3 linked regions of the Drosophila melanogaster genome follow. The protein of the gene in region 1 interacts with the protein of each later gene in a pairwise test. Each region holds a gene or a part of one and is shown on either strand. Other genes may lie near its edges.

Region 1 (7,569 bases):
TATTGGCGCCCAACTGAGTTGGGTCAGTTGGACCAAAGAGGACCTAAAGAAGGGCTATTCATATGCCTGTACTGTGGAGGACTTTACTGCAGTGGTGAAAGACCTACCTTTACAAGACCTGTTTGTCGATGGAGTCCTGGGTGTTTAATATCAGATTTTGTGGGTGTGCAATTTCCAAAAAAAAAAACGAATTTCTTAATTTAAAACCAATAAAAAGACTATCTTAAAGAAAACAGGTTTTTATTGAAGGGTAGCCCTTAGGAAAATGCTTAAAGGCACGTTTAAATTAAGTTCTCATGGGCCATAAAACAGTGAAATCACGTTTAGCTTTTGTTCTCTTTGGAGTTTATTGCATGTTGGACATATTGATAAGAGTAAGGTTATCAAATGCTTGACGTTATCGTTTATGGCCGGGGTAGAGCTATTTATTTACCCAGCCATTGGATTATTTGCTCACGTGCCGCACGTTTCCAAAAGCCTTAATTTTTTCTGCTGTTCCAGTAGCCCAAGAGGCAGTCCCTTGGCCCGAATCGAAGTCCCAATGGCAGTGACTTTCACATTTTCTTATCGAAGCTAAGGAAATACCTTGTATTACTTGTGCGGTTCCCTTTGTTTATCTTATCGCAACACAATCGTCGCAGAACGTATGAAGTATACGCCTGCTTGGTTAATAATTATAATGGACTTTTTAGGGGGTAAACAAAAGGCAAAAACCGTAAATGAAGCAGATAGAAACCAAAATTGATTTATATTGGTCGAGTAATCATTCACTTAGAATTGTTGCGGATTCAACAATGCGGTTAAACTTCGTTTTAATTAATCAGTAATATCTATCAAGGCTGAAAGTGTGTGTTATTTTGTTAAGCAATGTTTATTTACCCCTGTTCAAGGCGTAGTTCAGAGACCGTTTAATAGATAGTTCTATTCGGCTAACCTACTGCTGAAATATTTAGGCAGTAACTTATTAATCGTGTAAGTTTTAATGTACTGCATTTAAACAGCCATACAAAAATATTCAATTAGCGCTGTTTAATGAACTTTTATTTATGTTAGAAAGAGTCAGAACAATAATCATCATATTTCGGTGATTTAATTTTGCAAATAATCATTACCGCAACTCATCAACCATGAAATATCAAAATGATATAAATATGAGGGATTTAGGGAAATGAATTTAGTTAGTTTCGGAATTTTACAAGAGAAAATGGAACTTGTTGGTATATATTTGATATTAGCCACGACGATTGTTGTCCAAGGATACAGAAGTAAGTCAGCGAACAGGATAAGGGATAAAATCTAAAAAATTCCCCACTATCAATACAGAATTTGGACTTAGTTGTGAGGATATTGCCTGTATATCTGGTAAAAAATGCATTGTATCCAGAGTTCCCTGCGAAAACCCAAATCAGCAAGAAGGAGAACAATGTGGAACCTATCCGGAGTGCCAATCAGGTTCGTAAAATTTTGTTTTTTCATCGGTTCACACTGAAATCTGGTCCTTTTCAACTGATCCGTTTCAGATCAGCTGGCCAGCGATTTCATCATCGACACTACACAGACCACTGCCAACACCCGAAACAGCATCATCATACCCAGCACTTCCACGAGTCGCAATCGGAATAATAGGAACAGTGACTTTAAACTGCTGAGCGATTTCAGTAACTCCGATACATTTGCCACCCATGCAGGCCAACGGCAGGCTAATGTTTTGGTTATTGTTCAAGATGGTTCCCAGCAACCTCAACAGCCAAATCCTTGGCTAAATCGAGGACAAAGTCCTCCCTGTACCATCAGTCCGCTCTACCCATATTCCTGTACTTATCCCCGTTATCCGAATTCGGGAGCAGGATTGCCTTCTTATACGCAGCAGCGATCGGCCAATGGGCCACAATTAGTTCCTCCCACTCCACCATGCTACTATAACTGCTATCCCAGTGTGCGGTCAAGTTCATATGGTCAATATGGATACCCCCTGTCTAGATCAGCCAATCCCTCATCAACCAATAACTATTTAATCTACCTCACATTAGCTGGCTAAAAGACCAGGAGCTTTAGTTATGTGCAAATAATAAATATAGAATCTATTATCAACCTTTTTTTTTCGTTTCTATATCTTCGCCAGTTTTGCACCGTTTCCGGCGAACGCCACAAATGCCTTATCAGCCTGTGGGGATGCCAGCTTCAATGCCACCCGGGTATCCACCACCTCGCCCACCGTTTCAAATGCAGCAGCCGCGTCAAGTTGCACCACAATATGTGATTCCACCTCAGCCCAACCCACAGTACGCAATTCAATACCAGGCCAACCGGCAATATGCCATGCAAGGACAACCCAATTCGGCCAATCCTTGGCTCCACTTCTCAGTAGGGATGTCCTATCCAACGTATATGAACTATAATGGACGTTCCGCTGGGAACTCACTTCCATCATTTTACAATCCGTACCCACCCAGTTATAGTACCTATAATTACAATATTAACTTACCCTTTTCGGGTGGATCTTCCTAAGATCTTCGATACTGGTTAAAAAAAATTCAAAGCTACTCAGCACCGGATGGACTCCTTCCGAACATTATTTCATTACTTTCAAATTTGTCGTTCCTAAAATTAATAGCTAATACATATATTTGTCAGCTTCTCTGGGGGAAACGATGACGGATTCCGAAATGGATTCTGATGCAACACTACCACAATTTCACAATCGATCGGCACGTCAGATTCCAATGCGTCCCATGCCAGGACCAATGCCAATGCCAGGAGCGCTGCCGTATCCTGGTCCTGTTTCAATGAATGTACCATCTCCGGGGCGTGCGTATTATCCCTCGTATATGGGACAACCTTATATGGGACAACCGTACATGCCAGGTGCCATGCCCATGATGCCAATGATGCCCCAGGGAGGTGGAACTATGGGTGGTACCAGCATAATTGTGGAGCCCTTAATAATCCTGCCAATGGGCATTGGGGCAGGCACGGGTACGGGCGTGAATCCAAATTCATATTATGGATCGAATGGAGCTTATCCCACGTATAACAATTACAATCCCTACAATACGTACACTACTGCACGACCCAGCTACGACTATAACAATTATAACAACAACAATAATAACAATAACAACGATTACAACTCATATGGTTAGATTTCAATTAAATGATCCCCGAAATCTACATGATCATTATTCATTTACAAATGAATCGAAAGCTGTCCAGGTATGAATATATTGTGTACATACATTGTTTGCCAGGTCATTTAACAATAGATTATTTTCGATTATTAAATAAGAAAAATGTCAAATATAATTGACGATTAATCTTGAATAAAATTATTGAGATACATCATTCGCGAGATAAATCACTTTTTGTTTTAGCTCTGTAAAGAAAGGGGATCGACAAAAGCAAAGAACTTAATGCGACCTAGACCTAAATACACATACATATGTATAAAGGTATATAGATAGAAAGAACTCGGAAGTACTCAAAAAATGCAAACAATCCAATGGTATTATATCTTTATTCTCAGAGAGATTACAAGACAAAGAAGCAAAACGAAAGAGAGAGCGAGAGAGAGAGAGAGATGTAAGATACAAGAGCACGAACTGAGAATATAAATAAAAACACCTGTTCACCAAACAAATAATTCAGTCGGCGGTTAGATAGCAACTTAACCGGTCGAGTTGAGTTTCCAACAAAATGATGCTTCAGTTTATCGGCCTAATTTTGGCGGTCGTGATTCTGCGAGAGATTCGGGCACGTGAGGCGATCGCAACCATTCCAGATGTGGGTCAGATAATCAAAGATCTCGATGGACTGCACATCGATGGAGAAATGTTTCATCAAGGTATGTGGTCGCCTAAAAGTTAATAACCATACGTTTATCCAAAGCAGACTGAGCTTTGTTTGAGTAGTTTGACTGTAGTGGTCACATTCGGAATGAAATATATGTACATTTTGGAATGCAAAAAGGTCTGATGTTTGTTTTTCTTAAAAAAAACTATATTGTAGAAACAATAACCTTATTTACACATAAAAGTCACCTGCTTCAACAAAGTAAAATACATAGCACCAAAGGGCTGGAAAATAAATTAGTCTTAAAATTGGTTAAAATTCAAAATAAGAAAGACTTAAATATTTAAAAATATATATATGAATATAAAATTATTATATTACAATTGTTATATATATATTGTTCGTATATATAATAATATTATTGTGTTGTAAAATATTTAATCTTTATGTCATCGCCTAAAATTATGCCAAGAATTTTTAGCCACATCTTTTAACACACCTAACTTCCCATTTTAGGTTCTCCCTGCAGAGTGGATGTGCAAAATGATCTGCCCCGTTTGGATAAAGTGCAGCCGCTGTACCTGCGCCCAGGAACAGATCTCTACTGGCTGCCCAATGCTTATGGGCACCTGGAGGTTCAACGCGGCGCCAGCATCGAGCTGCACTGCAGCCATTCGTTCGCGCCCGCGAATGGAGAGTCTTTGGATGCGAAGCTGCGTTCCATTCGGGTGAAGTGCGTGCAGGACACCACCTTCGAGTGGATGGGGGCTAAAATCCATTTCAGCGACTTTGTCTGCAATCACTCCATGCCCTACACCGTGGAGCGATTGGACAGGAGTTGTGGCAGCGACACTCCGAGTCCATCCACCTCGTACTTGTATCGCGTGGGCTATGACACCGGAGATGGCAGATTTGTGGCCACCATGGAGCTGTGCCACGACCCAAATCAACTGCGCACCCACTACGCCCACCATCAACTGACACCGGCGAATGTGCACTTCCAGAAAAAATTGAAACGCCCGAGGTTTAGCACCGCCGGCCATTTCACGGGCTTTGACATGGCCAGAATTTATTCGCCCAAGAGCCAGGAGAAACTGATGGTGCCCGGCCTCATTGACGTGAAGAGTGGTCTGTTCCTGGCCCGCGGACATTTGACGGCCAAAGCGGATCTAATCTATGCTAGCCAACAGAAGAGCAGCTTCAACTACATGAACGTGGCGCCGCAATGGCAGAGCTTCAATGGTGGTCAGTGGTCCAAGCTGGAGGAATCCACCCGACAATATGTGGCCCGTTCGGGCATCACGGCCACTGTGTATACGGGCATCTATGGCGAAATGAAGGTGGCTGGCAGCAAAGTCCTCCACATGACCACCAATGCCAATAACATAGGTGTGGTGGCCGTGCCCCAGCTCTTCTATCGCGTCCTCATCGACGAGGGCCATCCGACCCGCGGAATCGCTTTGGTGGGTGTGAATAACCCACATGCCACCCTGGCCCAGATCCACGAGTCCTATATCATCTGCGATCCAGTGGAGGAGTCGGTGCAGTGGCTTAGCTGGCTGCACAAAAGCAACGCCAAGGGTAACCTGAAGAATGGCTATCTGTATGCCTGTTCGGTGGCGAATTTGGCCCGGGCTGTCGGACATTTGCCACGCCCACTTCTCGAAGTGGATGAGCTGCTCACTTAGATGTGGGCGGTGGCGGTTCGATTGCCCGTACTTTTAAGTGAGTGCAATAAAGACTGAGTGAGTTGTGTGACACAACTGCAGTTTGGTATTAGTGAAAATCACGTCACAACACTGCAACGAATGTGCAAACCCTTGAAAACAATTTTGCAGAAATGCATTACTGTATAAATATATATACATATATTTCCTTTGAGCTATTAAGAATAATTCATGATTATCTGGTACAAAAAAAAAAACATAAACATCATAAATCTTGGAATTTAAATAAATCTTTAAAGAAAAGGTCTGCAGATTTTGTCAACCTAACAAGTTAATTTCCATGAAGGAGTCGTCCTTGCCCATTCTTTTGCCAACCATCTGTGCCCATTCTTTTGCCAACCATCTGTGCCAGTTTCGTGTGTGTGCTCAGATTATTAACGCTCGTGTGGGCTTCACGCCATCAAAATCAAATGGGACATCGTGTGTGGTCATGTCGGGGGCGGGGCCACGCCCACGTTGGTGCCTCGAATCGGGAAATGCTATACACTCGTTATGCGATTGCCTTGTTGGCGAGGGCGCAAAATCGCTGGAAGAAATGGGGATATCAAATACGGCTCGGCTGCATTACCTTCATGCCGTTCACAAAACACAATTTGTTCCACAACATTGATTTAATCCTTTTTCTTCTGCGCCACGCACACACACACACACACACACACACACACACACATACACGGGAAATACAAACAACGCAACGCACATAAAATGGCTGTCGTGAAGAATTTTCTTAAATTTTCCGCTGGCTTTTTCATGGCATTTCCCGTCGTGGAGCTATGTCCTTGGCATTATCATGAATATTTGCCCCCTCTATTCAGTGCTTTCGATACATTTCCATTTGCTGATTTGAAGCGCACTTTCCACTTTTCCACACCCCAGCTCCTTGCCGCCTTTCCGTTTTTCCGATTTTCCGTTTTCCGCTCGCTTAGGTCGGTGCCGGTGTATTCGAAATGGGGCAAGCCGAAATTATGTTTTTATGCTTCCTTGTGCGGTAAGCAATATTTGCTCAAGTATCCCTCACAGACTGTTGGACAGTAATCATCAAATGGGGCACAAAGAGTTGGGAAATTTGTGGTTCGTGTTTCAAGAAAACGAGGCGGAAAAACTAATGAAGGGTTAATAAAAAAACTATATCGTATAGATTTTATTTCATTTATTAAATAATTTAATATGACTAAGAGTATAGCACAAGTTGGTTTGTTAGATAGTTAAGCTAGAAATGTAATTATTTAAAAAGTCGAATATAATTAAAACAAATCATCAAACAAGCTTCTTTGACATAACACGAGTTTGGAAAACTTATGCAACAAAAGTTTTAATAATCAGTTGATGGAACATAAATTGAAAAAATAAATCAACGAAATACGTAAAAAGGTAACCAATTAAAAACTGATTTCTATGCAAATGAATTCTTCCGACAAGAAACAATATAACTTTCAACTTGCCTCACATTCCCTGGAAATTAAATGTTTTTTTTTTTTTGTTCTGTTTGCCTAGCTGAAAGGCACTTGTAGCAATCGTATACCGCTTAAGGACATGAAATGGAGTGCAGTACAAGGTCCGAAGTCCAGACGACTTTCCTTAGTGGCCATAACATTTTTCCTTAAAATTGGTTACAAAAACAAGGAATACAACAAATTGCTTCGTTGTTGTTTGTCTTGTTTCTTTCGCAGACTTGATGAAAGTTTATCTGCTCCATGGAAATTGTGAGGTCAGTGGCCAAAAGGAGCAGCAGCAAGGATACCACCGACCAACCGAAAAAAAGTCAAATAATTGAACGCACTTCGCGCAGATGTTGTCGGGATTCTTTTTTATGTCATTGCTGGCAGAAGGATATGTTGTGTTGTGCGGCCGCCAGCGGAAATTATAATTTATATTTGGGTTTTCGCTCGGCCTCTGTGTGTATTTTAATATCGCCACCTCTTGTTTGGAGGCCAGCTCCAGTGGGCCTTGTTTTTTATTTTGATTAAAATGCATATTAAATATTTGGCAAACAAACAAAAAAAGAAAACGTACTATAAAACCAACTGAAATGTATCAAATAAAATGATATATA
Region 2 (8,283 bases), about 13 Mb from region 1:
GGAGCCCAGCAAAGACGAGCGCAAGGCCGTAAGCGACATTGATTTCTGCCGCAGCAATGGTGACATCCTGGCTGTAGCCTACGGACTGTACTCATTTTCCTCACAGCACGTACCGACCTCCGGCAGCGTTTTCCTGTGGAGCATTAAAAATCCAGGCGAGCCGGAGCGCGCATACTACTACGATGTGCCAGTAACGGCAATAAACTTCTCGCCATTCTTGCCATCCTTGCTCGCCATTGGTCTGTACGACGGCAGCGTGGAAGTGCGAGATGTGAGCAGTTTGCAGGACACACCCGTTGCGGTCTCGCAGCGCAGCACTTCGCCAGGCTCCTCGCCGGTGGTTGCCATCCGCTGGATCAAACAAGTTTCAGACGACGATCATGAAACAGACATCGATCCATTCCTGAGCCTCTCCCAGGATGGCTCGGTCACCCGCTTCCGGATTATCAAAAGTCCCTTCCTGCTTGGTTTTACCCAAATGATTCTGGAGCGAGTCGAGGGGCATCCTGAGGGCATTTTCGTTCACCCATCGTCGCGTATCCCCTGCGAGTCTAACCGCCACCCGCAAGGCTTAAGCATCACTACACATCCTCTGCACAAGGACATTTACTACGTGCTGACAGATGAGGGCTGCATCCACAAGTGCTCAATCAATTATCAGCATCAGTACTTGGAAGTCCTGCGTTGTCACGACGGGGGTGTCACCGTAATGGAGTTCTCGCCTTGGTCTCCCAAACTCTTCCTCACCTGCGGCAACGATTGGTAGGAAGTGGCCCTCTATCAAGGGTAGCTAAAGATAGTATCTATTCTGCAGGTTCGTACGCATTTGGGTCGATGGCATCACGCGACCTCTTCTCGAACTGCTAGACGAGATGACCCCAGTGCATTGGGCCAAGTGGAGCCCCACCCACTCTACGATTATTGTGACGGTGAACCGGGAAACCGCTAACGTCTGGGACTTTCGCCGAAATTTGCTAAGACCCATGTCCAAGCACAAGATGGACTCTTCTTTTAATACTGTGGCCAGGTAAGCTTTTATTGCTTTCCGCAAAAATGGCCAATTGAATAGGAATTTCCTTTACCAATTCTTAGGTTTTCCCACTGTGGTCGCACATTGGTTATTGGCAACGAGCGCGGGAACACGCTCTTCAACGCCCTGAACGACATGCCCTTTTCGCCACACTTCCAATACGACGAGTTAGAGAAAGCCATTTTCAAGGCAATTGGCAACGACCACGAGCTTCTTATGGAGCTTAAAAGCATTGGTTTCTTTGGGTACCCAAACAAAAAAGCAGTTTTTTAGATAGGAAAAATGGTATTCTCAATAAAACAAAATAATTCGTCGGCCTGAAAGCGAATCTGGATGGCACTGATGAAATGTTCACGCATCAGCTATCTAAGAGACACAACGGCGATCGATCGAGTGTCAAACAAAACTACCCAATAGTAACTTGATATCATCCGAACGGACCGGGCATTACCTTGCACAAGCACAAAAATCCGTTCGAAAAGATGAGCTCCATTGTTTTTCGAGTGTGTGTGGTTGACTGTCAACGATGGTGGTCAAGTGGATAGGGGTCGATATAGGGTCTAGAGGGATCGGTGCAAGTCGACGGGTGTTATATAATAAATGCTCGTATAAGCTTGGTAAATGGAAGCCGCATGTGGGGGAAGAGCAGAATTTATTAAACAGTCGTAAAGAGAAAGTCAACAATAATGAGAAGATGTTCAACAGCACGTTACAGTCATAGCCCAAGAAGAAATAAAAATAGGTATCAAGCAAACAAGCCTTTGATAAAAAAGAAAAAATCGAAAACAGGGGTGAGAACAAGGTTATTTTCTGAATTGCTGTGTAGCCATTTGTCGCTGTAGTATTTAATTAAATAATAATTTCAGCCCAGAAGCTCGCCAAACAACGCAGTCCCCGTATTGCGACTTCCATGGGCGGTGAAGGGTAGGAATTGCACTGACATCAGATCAGCAATAACAAGAGTTATTTTTATTGAATAACTCACCTATAACCATATATTAAATTGTTGGAATATCAGGTATTTAATAGGTGGAAATATTATATTTCTGAGCTATCTGCATAACGTGTATGCGCTCACAACCTCTATGTTTAACTGTTTTTCCCTCGTTGCTAGCGTTGTCCTCCACAGGTCTTCCTGTACTGCCTTTCGCTAAAAGACTCTTTTTCAGAATAGTCCGAAGAGTCGCTGCACAAACAAAACCATTAAGAATAGTCGATTAAACCCTGGTTTTTACTCACTCTACTTCAGTAACGTCGGAAAAATCACCATAATCCACTGGTCGATTGCACAGACAACACTTATTGTGTGACTTTTCAAAGCATTTACCGCAATAAACCCCTTTGCATCCAGGAGTGTCGCAGGGGTTACGATTTGAACTAAAAAGGGGACATCCAACTGTAACCCGGAGTGTGTTTAACGATTGGAGTTACTTACAGAGTCAGAGATCGGCCACATATGGTGCACCTCTCAGTGCTTTGACAGGATGAGCAGCAGGAGCACATGCACATTAAACAGGAGAATCTATTGTTCAGCCAAGTGTAGTTTCTGGTGTGCTTCACATTCCGTGTGTGGTTAAACTCATTACGCTTTCTGCGGCGGATAAACTTAAAAATGCTTGCTGGAGAGAATACATTAGAACAACTTTAAAAGGTATGTACTTTCTTACTTCTATCTTCGGAAATCATGTTGTACAGAAACATGCCTCTTTCCTTGGCGCGTTTTGGATAAAAGTGGGCCATTATAAGATGGCGAGTACGCAAAATATACGGCTCGGCCAAAAGGATCAGCCAAGCGAGCAGACAGAGTAATAATATAATTAGATACTCCGCATAATCAGGTTTCACGGGCAGCGGGAGGCAAGGATTCACGTCTAAAATGCTTTTTTGCGTCAAGGGTCGAAAGGCATTAGCGATTCCCCGCATGACATCCGCCACAAAGCCCCCACCCTTAATCTCTAGATCGACGTAAGCGGGCACCTCCAGCCCAGTCTCTTGGTGGCCATGGAGGGATATAGTTGCCAACAGCCAGAACAGCCCGTAATCCAGAAAGCAAATCGCAAACAACTGCAAGCAGGTTGTGGCCATGAAACAGGCGTTCTCAACAATGGACACGAACTCAAACAAAGTCAAACGCAAGCTAGTAAGCTGCAATGAAATCATTGTAATATTATGTCAGGGAAACGTAGGGAAACCTTACCTTCATATACTTTGCCCTTTCAAGCTGATGAAGGGGTAGCAGTGGATCGTAACCGTGCTTTTCGTGCCGCCGGTCGATATCACTTAGTATCTTTGTCAAGAACACATTCTGAAATTGCCGGCTGTGCATATATCGAAGGTAGAAGATGGTGGCTCTGATGGGAACAATTGAGGCATCACCAACACTAAATTAATAAGATGATTAAGCTCTTGCCTACTTAAAAAATACAGTAACCACCATGACCCAGCAGAGAATGTCCACAAAGCTGCTCAAGAAGATAAACGACGACAGACGCTTGTTAATATCCTGTAAAATTTCCTCCCCCACGTCCGTCAGGCTCTTTGAAGAGTTTGTATCGAAGAAAAATTCGTGCTCAAAAGTGATATTGGCATCAAACATTTCCTCGATGTGCCGCACAAATTCACGGTAGCCTGCGAGATCGTATAACTAATAACCAAAGTACCGATCGTTGTTTACACTCTCACGTTCTGCGATTTTATCAAGAAGACCCCAGCTGAGATCCCAGTAACCGCTGCAAAACACATCGATGATCTTGGCTGGATAGCAGAGGGCCAGAAACAGCTTTGCAGCATGGCATAGCGCCTTGAATACGCCCATCTTTGACTGGCACCTGATCATTGCGTGATGCGCCGTCTTTTTGCAACGTGCCCAGGGAGTGCCCATTTCTGTGTTGCACAGGTCTACGATGGATTTCAGCCAAGCGGCGCAGTTCTTCAGGGTTTTAACTACAAAAATGAATCAGCAGAGAAAACTGCAGCACTTTTTAATACAGATACTCACTAATTGCGATCAATTGGTCCTGAATGCGTAACAGCACTACCATGGCCAGCTTGAGCACCCGACGCACTTCCCGCATCAAGAGATCCACCGCTAGCTGGATGGCATTCACCGGCTCCAGTATTACGTCCAACATCTGGCCAAGCGCCTGACGCAATAGCTCCTGTCCGCAAGCGAGGCTGCGGAGCATCACCTTCAAATTGGCTAGAATGTTCGCCGTAGGCCCAACTGCGGCAATAACAAAGGCAAGGCTGATGAGGAACGCCCTTCCCCGAGAGCTGCACAGCGAGGGAAGGGCCAAAGTCACAATGCACCTGGCAGCCAGTGAGGGAACACTGTTAGACACAAATCGTTTTGGGCTTTTTCAGGTAGTTCTTACCTTACGGGCCTGCTGTAAAAGACCGCCAGAACAAGCGCCACCGGAATCGCGAAGGTGAGATTAAGACCCAGAACCAAGTGGCCCAGCTGCCACCAGTTCCATGCGAGCGTTACCGCGAGGCCGCATAGGTAGCCGCCAATTACGTATGGTGCCACCAGCTTGAATGTCCACATAGCGCCATACCTTGGCTGACTTTCTTCCATGATTTTATTTTGATCGATTTCTTTGTAATTTATTTGTAAAGTCTAACACAACAGTCGGAATCGATATCGATATTTTCTCTTGGCGCCCCACTTAGTGTGACCAATTTAAATGTGAGTTTTCATTGTTATCGGAAATGTGACCCTTCTTAAAATCGAAAAGCCTATTGTTTGTTGTTTTTGGCTTATCCGATTCATTTTTGGCGCCCAAAAAGAATTTAAAACTTAACCGATTGCTTTTTCTGTTTTTCGCTTTTTTGTTCCTTTATTTCAAACAACATCATTTTTTCTCTTTCAAAATAACAGTTATTTTTGATTTATATATCTTATAAAGTTACGTCGTGTGATCTAAGCGAGTTTCGGATTTGAAATGCGTAAAACGCATCGCTGCATTCAAATCCAATATTAATACTATTCAACGAATCTATTTATTATAATATAATGAATAATAAAATAAAAATTATAAAAACATAAACATAAAATAAAATTATATGTAACTAAATAATAAGAAAATAAACAAAAAAATAATTTTTATTAATATTTTTCTCAAAATGATCAAGTTATTTTGGAGCTTCAGGTTTTTATACAATTATGATAAAAATAAATATATTAAATACTCGTACTGAAAGAATTCGCATACACTTGCCCCTGGTAAAATTGGAATACTTATTGATTAAAACATATGATGATTTTAGTATTCCACTAATCGTCCTACAGGTTTACCTATGCACTTTTCGATTTTATGGGTCTTTCCGTTATCTCCTCTTTTTTCTTTTTTCCTGTAGGCTATAAAAGGTAAAAAAGGCTTCTGGATTTGAAGCGCAATGCATTTGCAATTATTTTAATTAGGGCAAGCCCTTTTTGGATTGCAGAAATAGAGCTGTCTTTCTATATCTTAGCCCTGTTCACTGTACTCTTTCTTCGATTTTAGGTACTGCAGCACAAGCGTAGGGTAGAACAAAGTAGTCAGGTCGTTTTATGTGTATCTTACGTAGATTTTGAAACCTATTGAAATGTTGTATCATTTTGCAACGTTGGATACTGGGATACGCGCACTTATTACCCAATCAGTTAGATATTGCCAATTGTAATAACCAAACGAACCAAAATAAAAACAAATTTTATCGTAATTTTGTTACTTTGAAATGTTTTTGTATTTTTCTTTAATTTTTCCTGTTAATGATACGTTCCTTTCGCTCGATTATCTTTTTTTGTTTTACTCGTAATATATTTTTTATTTTTACATGCTTCTCTTTTTTGACATTCTTGTTCTGGTACTCATATATAGATAATATATAATTTGTTTAAATATTTATTTTACAGATTTCTCTCACTATCAGTGGCTCTCCGTTCTATGACATCGTTTAATAAATCGTAATTTTCGTTTAATTTAATTAATTGTATACTTATGTGTGTTGTTGCATATTGCGTTAATTTTAATTTACTTAGGTCGCCAAAAATAATTTACTTAAAAGTAACAAAAAATTAAATTATGTTTAGATGTATATCGACCAACGGCGATATGTATGTACAAAATGTATTTTTTGCTTTCTTTCAACTTCGACTCCTTACTCTACACCTCTGCTCATCACTTAATTACTGTAGCTTAAAGGTAAATATGGGAGGGGATGGGCGCGTTCTAGTAGTAGCAGTGGTAGCAACTTAGACATTTACAACATTTAACTAATTTGTTTCAAGAAACTTTGCAGTCTGTCTTACATCTATTACATATATCTTTGTATAAGACTTGTTTTACACACATTCAATTGGAGTCAGTTGGAGAGACAACGACCGCCAATCTTGACAATCTTTGAACGACTGTTGAGTTTTTAGTGGTAGCCCTTACAAAATAAAAATATAATTTAAAATTCGTTCTTTTATTAGGGTAGCTCAAGTCTTATACATTTCATTATAGGGCAAATAGGTAAACGAAAAGCATAATGAGAATGATAAATAATGATAATTAGCGTTAAACTGTATATTAGAATTACCTAAACAGTTGAGCGTGAAGCTGGAAAAACACCGATTTTGTGACATCGATGGTTTTCCGGCTCATTCCCATCTCCTTCCCCACGACTTAGGGTCTTTTTGCCGTGTGCATATAGCTCACATAGTTCTGTACATAGTTACACTGTTTACAAAATTTATATTAACATATATGTGATCTTCCCACGATAACAGAAACAAAAATTATTTCTCCGACGTACATACACATATTATGTATATTACAGTTTCCAGATAATTTCCTAGTATTATACCATTTAAATACGGATTTTAGTTTGCTTCACGAAATTACTTTTAATTTAAGCCTACAATGCCACCTTGCCTCCGTGTGTAATTCATTTCAATTGCGACTAACTACGCGCTAAATACGAATATATTTGTATTTATGTATGCTGTATATAAATATTTAATTTAAATTTTAAATTGAATTTACTTAGTCGTTATAGATGTATTTTACTTTAGATAAGTTTATTCTAGTGTTATATTTTCGCCCTAAGCACAATACAAATCGGAAAACAGAAATTTGGTTCTAATTAGCACTAGAGACACGATCATTATTTCCCCTTCATCACTTACTTCTACTTCTAAGCTTACTTCTATTCCCGCCCTCTTCTACGCCATCGCTTCGTTTGCACTAAATTTCAACTAAATTAATTTCACATTGCTATAAATAGGACTACGTTTACTTAGACGCCGTCTTCTTGCTAGGTGACGTCCCCGTTCTGGTGCTACCCAATGTCCGGTTGTCAGACGCCGTCGAAGCTTGAGGAGCGTTTACGGGGGAACTGCGTTTCACCGTGGGCGAATTGCTTGAGGAGGCGGCGGATGAATTTGAGATGACAGCCAGGCTATTACTGCTGCCGCTGGAGCAGGACACTGCAGATGTGGAGGAGGGATCTCCGTAGGCCAACTTGCGCATGTTCTCAATAGCTTCCGACCAGTGGATAGCATAGCCTTCGGGATCATCCAGGTAATAGGTTCGATTTGGCTGCAATGAAACCAAAAGAGTAAAATTAGTTGAGCGCAACGCTAATTTTAAACCCATTCACCAAACAAGTTTGAGTTTTTATCTGCCTTGCGTGTGCAGTTTTCAATGCCGCATTTAATTTGCTTTCATAGCCAACACGTGCCCGGGACATAAACTAACGCTCAAATTGCTTTTCAGTAGGCGTGTGACTGGCTACGAACTATAAGCTGTGATGTCATCGGTTCAACAAACTTATGCTTTCTCGGTTTTCCGAGTTGCGCCTCGTGCATCCTTATCCCACCATAGGTAAACACTTACCGTATGGACAAAAAAAATTTTGAAGTTTTTGTACTCCGCTCGGAGATCTGGGCTCCACGGAATTTCTCCTTTTTTGATCATCTGCACGGGATCGATATAGATGAGTCGCGGTCCCGTGGTCAGAAGGAGCATTCGCTTGCGGGCAAACAGACCCTTGCGCTTGTTGACAAACCCCTTCTTGAGGATCACTTCGCCGTCGGCAAAAACGTGCCACTTGTCAGTCTTTTGTTGCTCGAGACGCTGCAGCTTCTCGGCATCGTTCAGGTCGAAAGAGTCTGAAGAAAAACAATACATTCATTAGCCAACGTATTTTTCTGGGGCACCACGTGGACACTTACTCTTTGCGGTCGATCGCTTGACGGGCATGGCCACGCTGCTGCCAACGCCTAA
Region 3 (8,248 bases), on another chromosome or scaffold:
AAACTATGATCTTGTCACATTAATCCTAATTACACGGCATATGTTTCATACGATACGTACTCATACTGGTGGCTCCATTCAGTCGCTGATCGAGGGGCATTATCGTGGCCCCCACACCGATACCGGCTCCATTCGCGATGCCAGTGCCCACTCCCACTCCCGATCCCAAATCCATCGCATCATCGGCACTGGCAGCGCGATTAAAGGGTCGCGGTTTGCGATTTTTGAAGCGCAGGCGCAGCTCCGTGTTGAGAACGCGCATTATGTCGATGGGCGGAAATCGATGGGAATATATATATATATACACACTATATAACCACTACGTATATATAAACAAAAAAAAACAAACGACGGCCTTTTGCTATTGTTTAGCTGATTTGTTTGGGGCGCGGGAATTGGAGCAAACGCATCAACGACTCCAACTCAATTTGTGCCCCGCATCGATTGCTCTTCGATCCCCGATCACTGGTACCCGAAAACAAAAAAAAAAAATCGAACACAAACGAAAATAGAACTTAAATAGGAAAATGATTTCGGGGATCGCCCCTCTATATGATATCACACACACTGCCTGCAAATCACGAGCTATTCAACAACGCGTATTTATTCTCAACTTGAGCATTTATATTCAACTTGGCTCGATTTGTGCGATGTGTTGCCGTGCGGTAAACGGAGACGGATGGCAAACAACACCGTTGTTGTGAAAATTTCGCGTGCGACTGACCGGCCGAGCTGAGCTGAGCCGAGCCACCCAATTCGAAGCAACCCAACTCAAAGCAATCCAACTAACCAACGAAACCGAGTCAACCTACCATACCATACCATACAATACAATACTATACCGCACCAGCGAGCGGTAAGCGGCGAGAGGTGAGCGGTGAGCGGTGAGCGGTACGCGGGGTAAAGCGATGAGCTGCGAGCGCACAACTTTTACAATCTAATCGCGGGGCCACTGGGCAGAGCGCTTAGCAGAGCGACAGATCTGACAGTCTAGCTACTTTCCCCGCCCCACCTGCTGCCTTTGTGAACTTGCACAACTATATAGTACTATATATTATATATTATAGCATGCGCCTAACTTAGTAAAGCCACTACTATAACAATACATTGTGACTTCTTTTTTTTTTTTAGTTATGATAACCTGCACTATTCGTTGCGAGTTCAGTAAACTGTCGACTGCTGCTATTCAGATGTACGCGAGTGTGACAGCTTGTGACTGTTATCAGCGTGAGTGACTCTTATCAGGCTAATGGAAACATTCAAGTCAGCTGGCGACTCTTTAAATTTGCACTCGCTAAAAAAAGGTAAACACCGAATGAGCTGAGCACATGAAAGAATGACAGACGTTGTCTAAAATTTAATGTTTTCCAGCCAAAAATTCAAGTTGGTTAGTGGTCATGCAAAGTGGGCGACAAAAGTGGTGCCAAAACAATGAAATCCACACAGAAAGTACAAATTAAATGCGAAGCTAGATAGAAAATTGTGTAGATGTTTGAGATACTTGCTTAGAAGTCTTAAGGCAGCTTAACTGGCTGGCGAAATTCAATTGAAGGCGAATGGAAAATCCTTCAATGGCAAATTCTTGGGGCAGCAACAAGTTTCAATGCATTTCCCTTGAAATCGGAGCTCTGCTCATTAATTATAAGCTAAAAGCTGGCGTCGTTGCATGGAACCAGAACCGGAATCAACAGGATAATGCTGGGTCAAACAAAAGTGCAATTATAAATGGACACCAGGCAGCAGGAATTGTGTTTTCACGGAATTAATTAAAACGAGGGTGGACAATGGGGTCAGCGGGGCAAAGGATTAATATGCATTTTCACACAATTCCTCTAACCACCCACTTTCGCAGCGTTCTAAACTCTTGTTCCTAGAGCAAGTGCATTTTCCAGGTAATCAAAATCCTTGGCGTTTAGTCGGAATCAACAGGATAATAATAGACAGAAAATGGTAAATCAAATACCAAATACCACACGAAAACAACCATTCGCAGGTATTAAGTAATGTGTGTGTGTGTGATTAGAGTTAAATCAAAAATTAGTGCTTCTCATATGTGGGCAGAAAGTGCATAAATATAGTCAGCAGAGCGTATTTCCATGGAAACCGCACATTTGCCCAATTTCCTTTCATCGAGAGGGGATATGAACTTACTTACTAATATGGTTTTAAAGCGTAGGATATTATTAGTTAAAAGAAAAATATTTCGATTTTTTTAATCTAGTAAAACGTTGTGTAAAATCCTTGCCTACTTTTCTGCTAAGCCCCACAAATTGTGCGGAAAATGTTAGGGATAACGTTTGCAGAGGCCAAATTCGGTTCAGGATTTCCGAGAAATGTTTAATGCGATTTAAATATATATATGTACATATGTATATGAGTGATGTGCCTCAAAAACTCTAGTCAATAAGGATTTTCGGAATGATTTAATTAAACAAAATTCTACAGATAAACAAAGGTCAAATGCAATCGGAGAGTTCCGGGAAATATTCAAGGAGCTTCCTTCCATATGGGATGCAGAGTGAAATTCTATGGTTTATACAAATGGAGTAAAGACGACAAGAGGATAAATTCCAATTAGGATGACAGCCTTTTTATCCAGGTTTCAAACCATATAAATTTAGGAAGAATTTTAGAGGAAAAAAAAGACGAGAGTGTGTGTTCGTGTGTGTGGGAGCGCAGCGGAGGTGCGAGGGACGAAATGAAAATAGGAAGAGGAAATGGAAAGGAAAACGAAAATGTTTGCGTTCGCTTCTGGAGTTGTTCTTTCAATGTTTAACACTTCTGGAAGAGAGGCAAATGCAACTGCAGCATCTAAAAGTCTAAAAATAGACTTGTTGACAGCTCCCAAAACGAGCAGCAGCAGCAGCAACAACACGAACAACAACAATGAAAGGCGGGGGCGTTGCTGGATAAAGGGGCGCGGGTTTTGTGAGCAGTACAGGGATAGTGGCAATAGGATCAAGAGGATGGTGAAGGGCAGAGACGGAGGCGGAGGCGGAGGAATGTGTGTAAACGATGGAGGCGAATGCAAACGGTAAACTGTGTGGAAATTGGAAGGAAAAGCCAAGGAGTCGCCAAAAAAAAAACGAAGAGAGCGCTTAAGAGCGAAATACTGACCGATTTTCTGCAGTATATTCATGATGAGGCCGTGTGTTTCCGCCAGGATTCACAGATTTCCCTCTTGGCAATTTTCATTCTCCTTTTTCCGCAATGATATTCGGTTCTTTTTGCTCATAGCCGCAGGCCAGTAAATAATATAAAAAACACTAAATTCTCTTTTCCTCTCACACGCACATTTTCATCGTTCTCCGCTTGAGTAGTATTAGTATTTGCTCACACACACAGTACAGTATTTTTATTTGATATTTCGCCCCGTCTCGCTCTAACTACACATATATGTACATATATTTATAAAGTTGTGTTGCGATCCGCACTTTGTATTCACTTAAATTCAATCGCACTCGCACTGCACTTTTGGCCGGCTCTCATTCGGTCCAAAAAAAAGAAAATATAAAAAATAACAATACAATTTTAAACGCGCAACACAACAACAAAATGCGGTGACCGTCGCGCAGTGCTGCTAAAATGCTTCCCAAACAATGTGAAAATAGTGACGAAGAAAGTGACGATTAGATCGCAATCGATAGCTCTGTCGATAGCGCTGTGGCGATGTATGGGTGCCACCTCTAGCACGCGGAGATGGAAACTATCGATAGACGATGACAAAACGTTTGAAAAAAAGTTGAAGATCTCTCGCGTAGTTTATTGATTGCATTGGTAATTTAATTGCAATATTTGTAATTACAAGCGGGAGAATAATCACCGGCGCGTGTGTGTGAGCCTAATCGCCGTGTTTTTCCTCCCGTGTGTATGTTTGCGTGGGTGTGCAGTTGCAGCACTGCAACTCAAGTGTGCGTCTGAGTGTGTGTGTGTGCAAAACTGCTCCTTTGTTTGCCCATAAAAAAAGAAGCGGCGTCGCCTTTGCGCAGTTTTTGTTGGTGTAGTTGCACCACCCCCTCTCCGGCTACTGCTCCCCACTCCACCCCCGCGCGCACCCTTTGTTGTTGCATTTGTAGTTGTCATTGTCATTGCCGCCGCTTTGGATTCTTCCTCTTCTTCTTCTGCCGGCGCCAGGGTGTGTGCTGCAAAAAATAAGGAAAAGGAAACGAAGGAAAAGCGAAAAAAGAAGTATATAAAAATAAATTCACCCCTCTTTTCATTGAATGGCACGCAAACTAGAAAGTAACAACCAATAATCAAATGCAATGTATGCAAAATATAGGATGGAAAACTTGTGAAAATGTCAATAAATGCATATAAGCAGCAACAACAAGAACAACAAAGTGACCAAAAACCAACCACCAGAAGTGCAAATGTGTGTGTGTGTGTTTAGTGGGCAGTGGGTGAAAACAACAAAAATGCTAGCCGGCTTGTTTCTAGCCACCCCCAACCAAGCGAAAGAGAGAGATAGGGATGCAGATGCTCGTGCTCTCCCACGCCGCCCGCTGTCATCCGTTAACCGTTAGCCGCTGAGCTCTCCTGCAGGTTGCACCTGTGCCCGTCTCGCTCTCACTTTGCAACATCACCTCGTTATATTGCCTTTGATTTTGCTTTTCTAAATCACTTGACCCCATTACCTGGTGGCTCCGCTGGCCAATACCTGCTTGGCCGTCCCCCAGCCGCACCTCCTTTTACCCCCAGTGGTCATTTGTTTTGCCGCTTTCTAACAAACAGAAACAGTTGAATTGGCGCATGCTCTCTCCCTCCCGCTCTCGCTCTCTCGACGTTTGCTTACTGCACTCGGGAGACTACACAGTGCGGCCTCCAGAGAGTAGAGTATAAAAATAAAGTAATAACTAACTAAAGACGTAGAAAAATATATATTTTTGCGCAAACTAATATTTTATTTGTTTGATCCAAAGGCTCATTGATGCCATTGCACTGTGATGTTTAGTTTACAGAGTGCTCACTGTGCTTATCCATAAACTGCAAGCCAGTTGGTTGTGTTTGTACAAGGGTATGTGTGTGTGAAACTCTCCATGAAATTTATCAAAAGGATCGTTAACCCTTAGGTGTGGCATATTAACCCTTACCGCCGCTCGGATCATACTGTTTGTGTTGCCATTTTCAGCAGTTGTTCATACACGTACTTCATATTTGCAAATTACACATTAGAAATTAGTGCAAATTTAAGTAAATATATGTTTAGCTTGACAGAAAGTGAAGAAATAACGCTGAAAAGAGGATCACTAACCCTTAGGTGTGCCAAATTAACCCCCACCGGCCGGAACTCATCATATTTTGCCCAGTGTTTTTCCTCGCCTTTCCTGATGATGTACAAACAAACATTCGCATACATACTCAAACAAACACGTACGCCAAATGCGCGAGTGTTGGTCGGGTTGGCTGGCTGGCTCATCCGGCTTTGGTGGACACCATTCTTGTCCAGCTTTCTCTTTTCAATAGACGTATCGCCGCAATAGCAAGTGCATCTCTCTTTTTTTCCCCATCCATACTTGCTAAATGTATTATTATTTATATTCGGTTATCGGCTATTGTTTGCCCTATCGGATTTGGATGACGATGAGTCAGGAGCGGCGGGCAAGACGATAACAAACTGTGGAATGTCCCCCGCGCACCCAAGTGATATCATACTCGTACTTATGCGGCTATTTTGCCATTTTCCAGAAACGAAACTCTGAAACGGAGCAGCGGAGCGGAGAGCGAAGCGCAAGAGAGCGACTGAGAGGGAGCCACCGGACTAGTGACACTCGACCATCAGGCATCAAGCATCGGGCATATACAATCCACAATCGACTCTCTACACTCGAGCAGAGAACGTCCATATCCATATCCACATCCGCATCGGATCGCCATCACATCGGATCGAAGCCCTCCCAGCTCAACCAAGTAGCCAACCATGGCCTGGCGATTCAAGGCTTCCAAGTACAAAAATGCCGCACCCATTGTGCCCAAGGCGGAGGCATGCGTCCGCGAGATCTGCGTGGGCAGCTACCAGACGTACGGTAACAACATCGCCGCCTCCGGCGCCTTCATGGCCTTCAACTGGGAGCACACCGGGTCCAGCGTCGCTGTCCTCCCGCTGGACGACTGCGGCCGGAAGAGCAAGACCATGCCGCTGCTCCATGGACACACGGACACAGTGACGGACCTTAAGTTCTCCCCGTTCCACGACGGGCTGCTGGCCACCGCCTCGCAGGATTGCCTGGTAAGAGATCCTTTAATATTATTTGGGAGTACCCCTAAATGTTTCAAAAATATATTATGTGTTAGGTCATTACTTTCCAATGATATGTCCATAGAGTTACTCAGAATATATTTTTTTTCTTGTTTTATTTTTGCAATATTATTAATTTAATAAAAATGTATTTTCCGTTTCTCAAACATTAAATGTTTATTTACCAGAAGCTACAGATAAAATAGTTGCATGTTATAATGAGTTTATGAGTGTGATAAGAACGAACAATCAATAATATGCTATTATTAATATTAATAACTCACCAGAAACCATAATTTCATCGCAACGCTATCACATTAGTCACAAATTAGATAGTCAACATGACACAAAGTCCCCCTGCTAATCAATCACTACCATTGCAATCCACAGGTCAAGATCTGGCACATACCGGAAAAAGGTCTGGAGCAGTCGCTTTCCGATCCGGAGGCAATCTTCTCACACAAGCAGAGACGCGTAGAGACAGTGGGCTTCCATCCAACAGCAGATGGTTTGATGTACTCCACAGCCGCCGGCTGCGTGGCTCTCTTCGATCTCAGCACTCAAAAGGAGATATTCTGTGAGTAAACACATTCTTTTTTTTTTTTTTTTTTTTTAAATAAAACCCTAACTAAATATGTTTTTTCTCTCTACAGCGAACAATGAGCACCCCGAGGTGATACAGTCGGCCAGTTGGCGCGAGGACGGTTCTGTTTTGGCCACCAGTTGCAAGGATAAGAATGTGCGAATCTTCGATCCCCGTGCCGCTGGTTCACCCATCCAGCTGACTGCTGAATCGCATCAGAGCATCAAGGATTCGCGGGTGGTGTGGTTAGGCAATCAGCATCGCATCCTGACCACTGGCTTCGATGCGGCCCGCCTGCGACAGGTGATCATCCGTGATGTGCGCAACTTCAACACTCCAGAGAAAACTCTCGAACTGGACTGCTCGACGGGCATATTGATGCCCCTCTTCGATCCCGACACCAATATGCTTTTCCTAGCCGGAAAGGGTGACACAACCATTAACTATTTGGAGATTACGGACAAGGATCCGTATTTGATTGAGGGCTTGCGTCATACTGGCGAGCAGACGAAGGGAGCTTGTCTCGTGCCCAAGCGGGCACTTAAAGTCATGGAAGCAGAGGTTAACCGGGTGTTGCAATTGACCTCCAACATGGTCATACCCATCATGTACCAGGTGCCCAGAAAGGTGAGTAATAAACTACTATCAAATTTATGCTCAAAGTACTTATAAGAAAATTTCATAGACATACCGTGATTTCCACGCCGATCTATATCCGGAGACCACTGGCTACAAGACAGAACTGGTGGCCGGCGAGTGGCTAAATGGCAGCAACCAGGCGGTGCCCAAGATGAGCCTTGATCCCGCCAAGCGTGAGCATGGCGATGAGCCAATTATTGTAAGTAACCTTCTATACTTTCATATTTCGATTTATAGATCCTAAGATTGAAAACCGGAAGACAAGGGCTTCATGGGTTAATGTAGTTAGGGTTCGATGGTTAGCATTTCCGGGGCGTTTCGTTTAAACCCAATTTGGCCATCAATGCAGATTCATCGCGGTAACCTGAGTGATTTTGTTAAGAACCTGGAGAATCAGCGGGCCAAGAGCAACACCACTGGGAAACCCAATCAGCAGGCCAAGCGCAACGATAACGAGCACTTTGTCATGCTAAACACGGGCAATAACTTTGAGGAGAAGAACGGCAATGACAACAGCAACGAGAGCAACGGAAAGAAGAGCACACCTTCACAGTCCCAGCCAGATGGCGAGTGCAGTGAGCTCATCCGTAAGTTCGAGGCAAAATACAAGGTGGATTCGGAGAAGGAAAAGGCCCATGCCTACGCCCAGTCTCACGAGGATGACAAGGAGTCACCCACTGAGCACGAGCATTCGACCGGCAGCAGCGAGGAGGTCTCCTCCTCCGGTGGACTGGACAACCATTCGGCCAGTGGCAGCCACTCGCCACCGAAGCCCATGCCGCGCACAT

The links. Proteins that work in one complex are often made in the same cells at the same time.
Region 2: the proteins of CG14118 (region 1) and CG6845 interact in a two-hybrid assay, tested with the Drosophila melanogaster proteins (one large-scale study listed by BioGRID).
Region 3: the proteins of CG14118 (region 1) and pod1 interact in a two-hybrid assay, tested with the Drosophila melanogaster proteins (one large-scale study listed by BioGRID).

The regions. Positions count from the first base shown.
Region 1 is NT_037436.4:12,889,020-12,896,588, forward strand, and holds CG14118 (uncharacterized protein), read left to right. Parts: upstream 1-3,638; 5' UTR 3,639-3,693; coding exon 3,694-3,841; intron 3,842-4,305; coding exon 4,306-5,477; 3' UTR 5,478-5,739; downstream 5,740-7,569. Other genes in the region: CG14120 (uncharacterized protein), read left to right, coding at 1-148; CG43894 (uncharacterized protein), read left to right, coding at 1,205-1,265, 1,324-1,452, 1,521-2,038.
Region 2 is NT_037436.4:142,828-151,110, reverse strand, and holds CG6845 (uncharacterized protein), read right to left. Parts: upstream 4,679-8,283; 5' UTR 4,608-4,678; coding exon 4,405-4,607; intron 4,340-4,404; coding exon 4,029-4,339; exon of another isoform or gene 3,974-4,028; coding exon 3,713-3,973; intron 3,659-3,712; coding exon 3,445-3,658; exon of another isoform or gene 3,382-3,444; coding exon 3,228-3,381; intron 3,176-3,227; coding exon 2,698-3,175; intron 2,650-2,697; coding exon 2,466-2,649; intron 2,408-2,465; coding exon 2,270-2,407; intron 2,217-2,269; coding exon 2,141-2,216; 3' UTR 2,055-2,140; downstream 1-2,054. Other genes in the region: Dic61B (dynein intermediate chain at 61B), read left to right, coding at 1-762, 815-1,027, 1,093-1,303; Pdk1 (Phosphoinositide-dependent kinase 1), read right to left, coding at 7,291-7,596, 7,894-8,168, 8,232-8,283.
Region 3 is NC_004354.4:6,799,990-6,808,237, forward strand, and holds the start of pod1 (pod1 coronin), read left to right. Parts: upstream 1-3,694; 5' UTR 3,695-3,777; intron 3,778-4,106; exon of another isoform or gene 4,107-4,188; intron 4,189-4,995; exon of another isoform or gene 4,996-5,017; intron 5,018-5,138; exon of another isoform or gene 5,139-5,260; intron 5,261-5,395; exon of another isoform or gene 5,396-5,486; intron 5,487-5,688; 5' UTR 5,689-5,920; coding exon 5,921-6,229; intron 6,230-6,628; coding exon 6,629-6,815; intron 6,816-6,891; coding exon 6,892-7,448; intron 7,449-7,506; coding exon 7,507-7,659; intron 7,660-7,809; coding exon 7,810-8,248.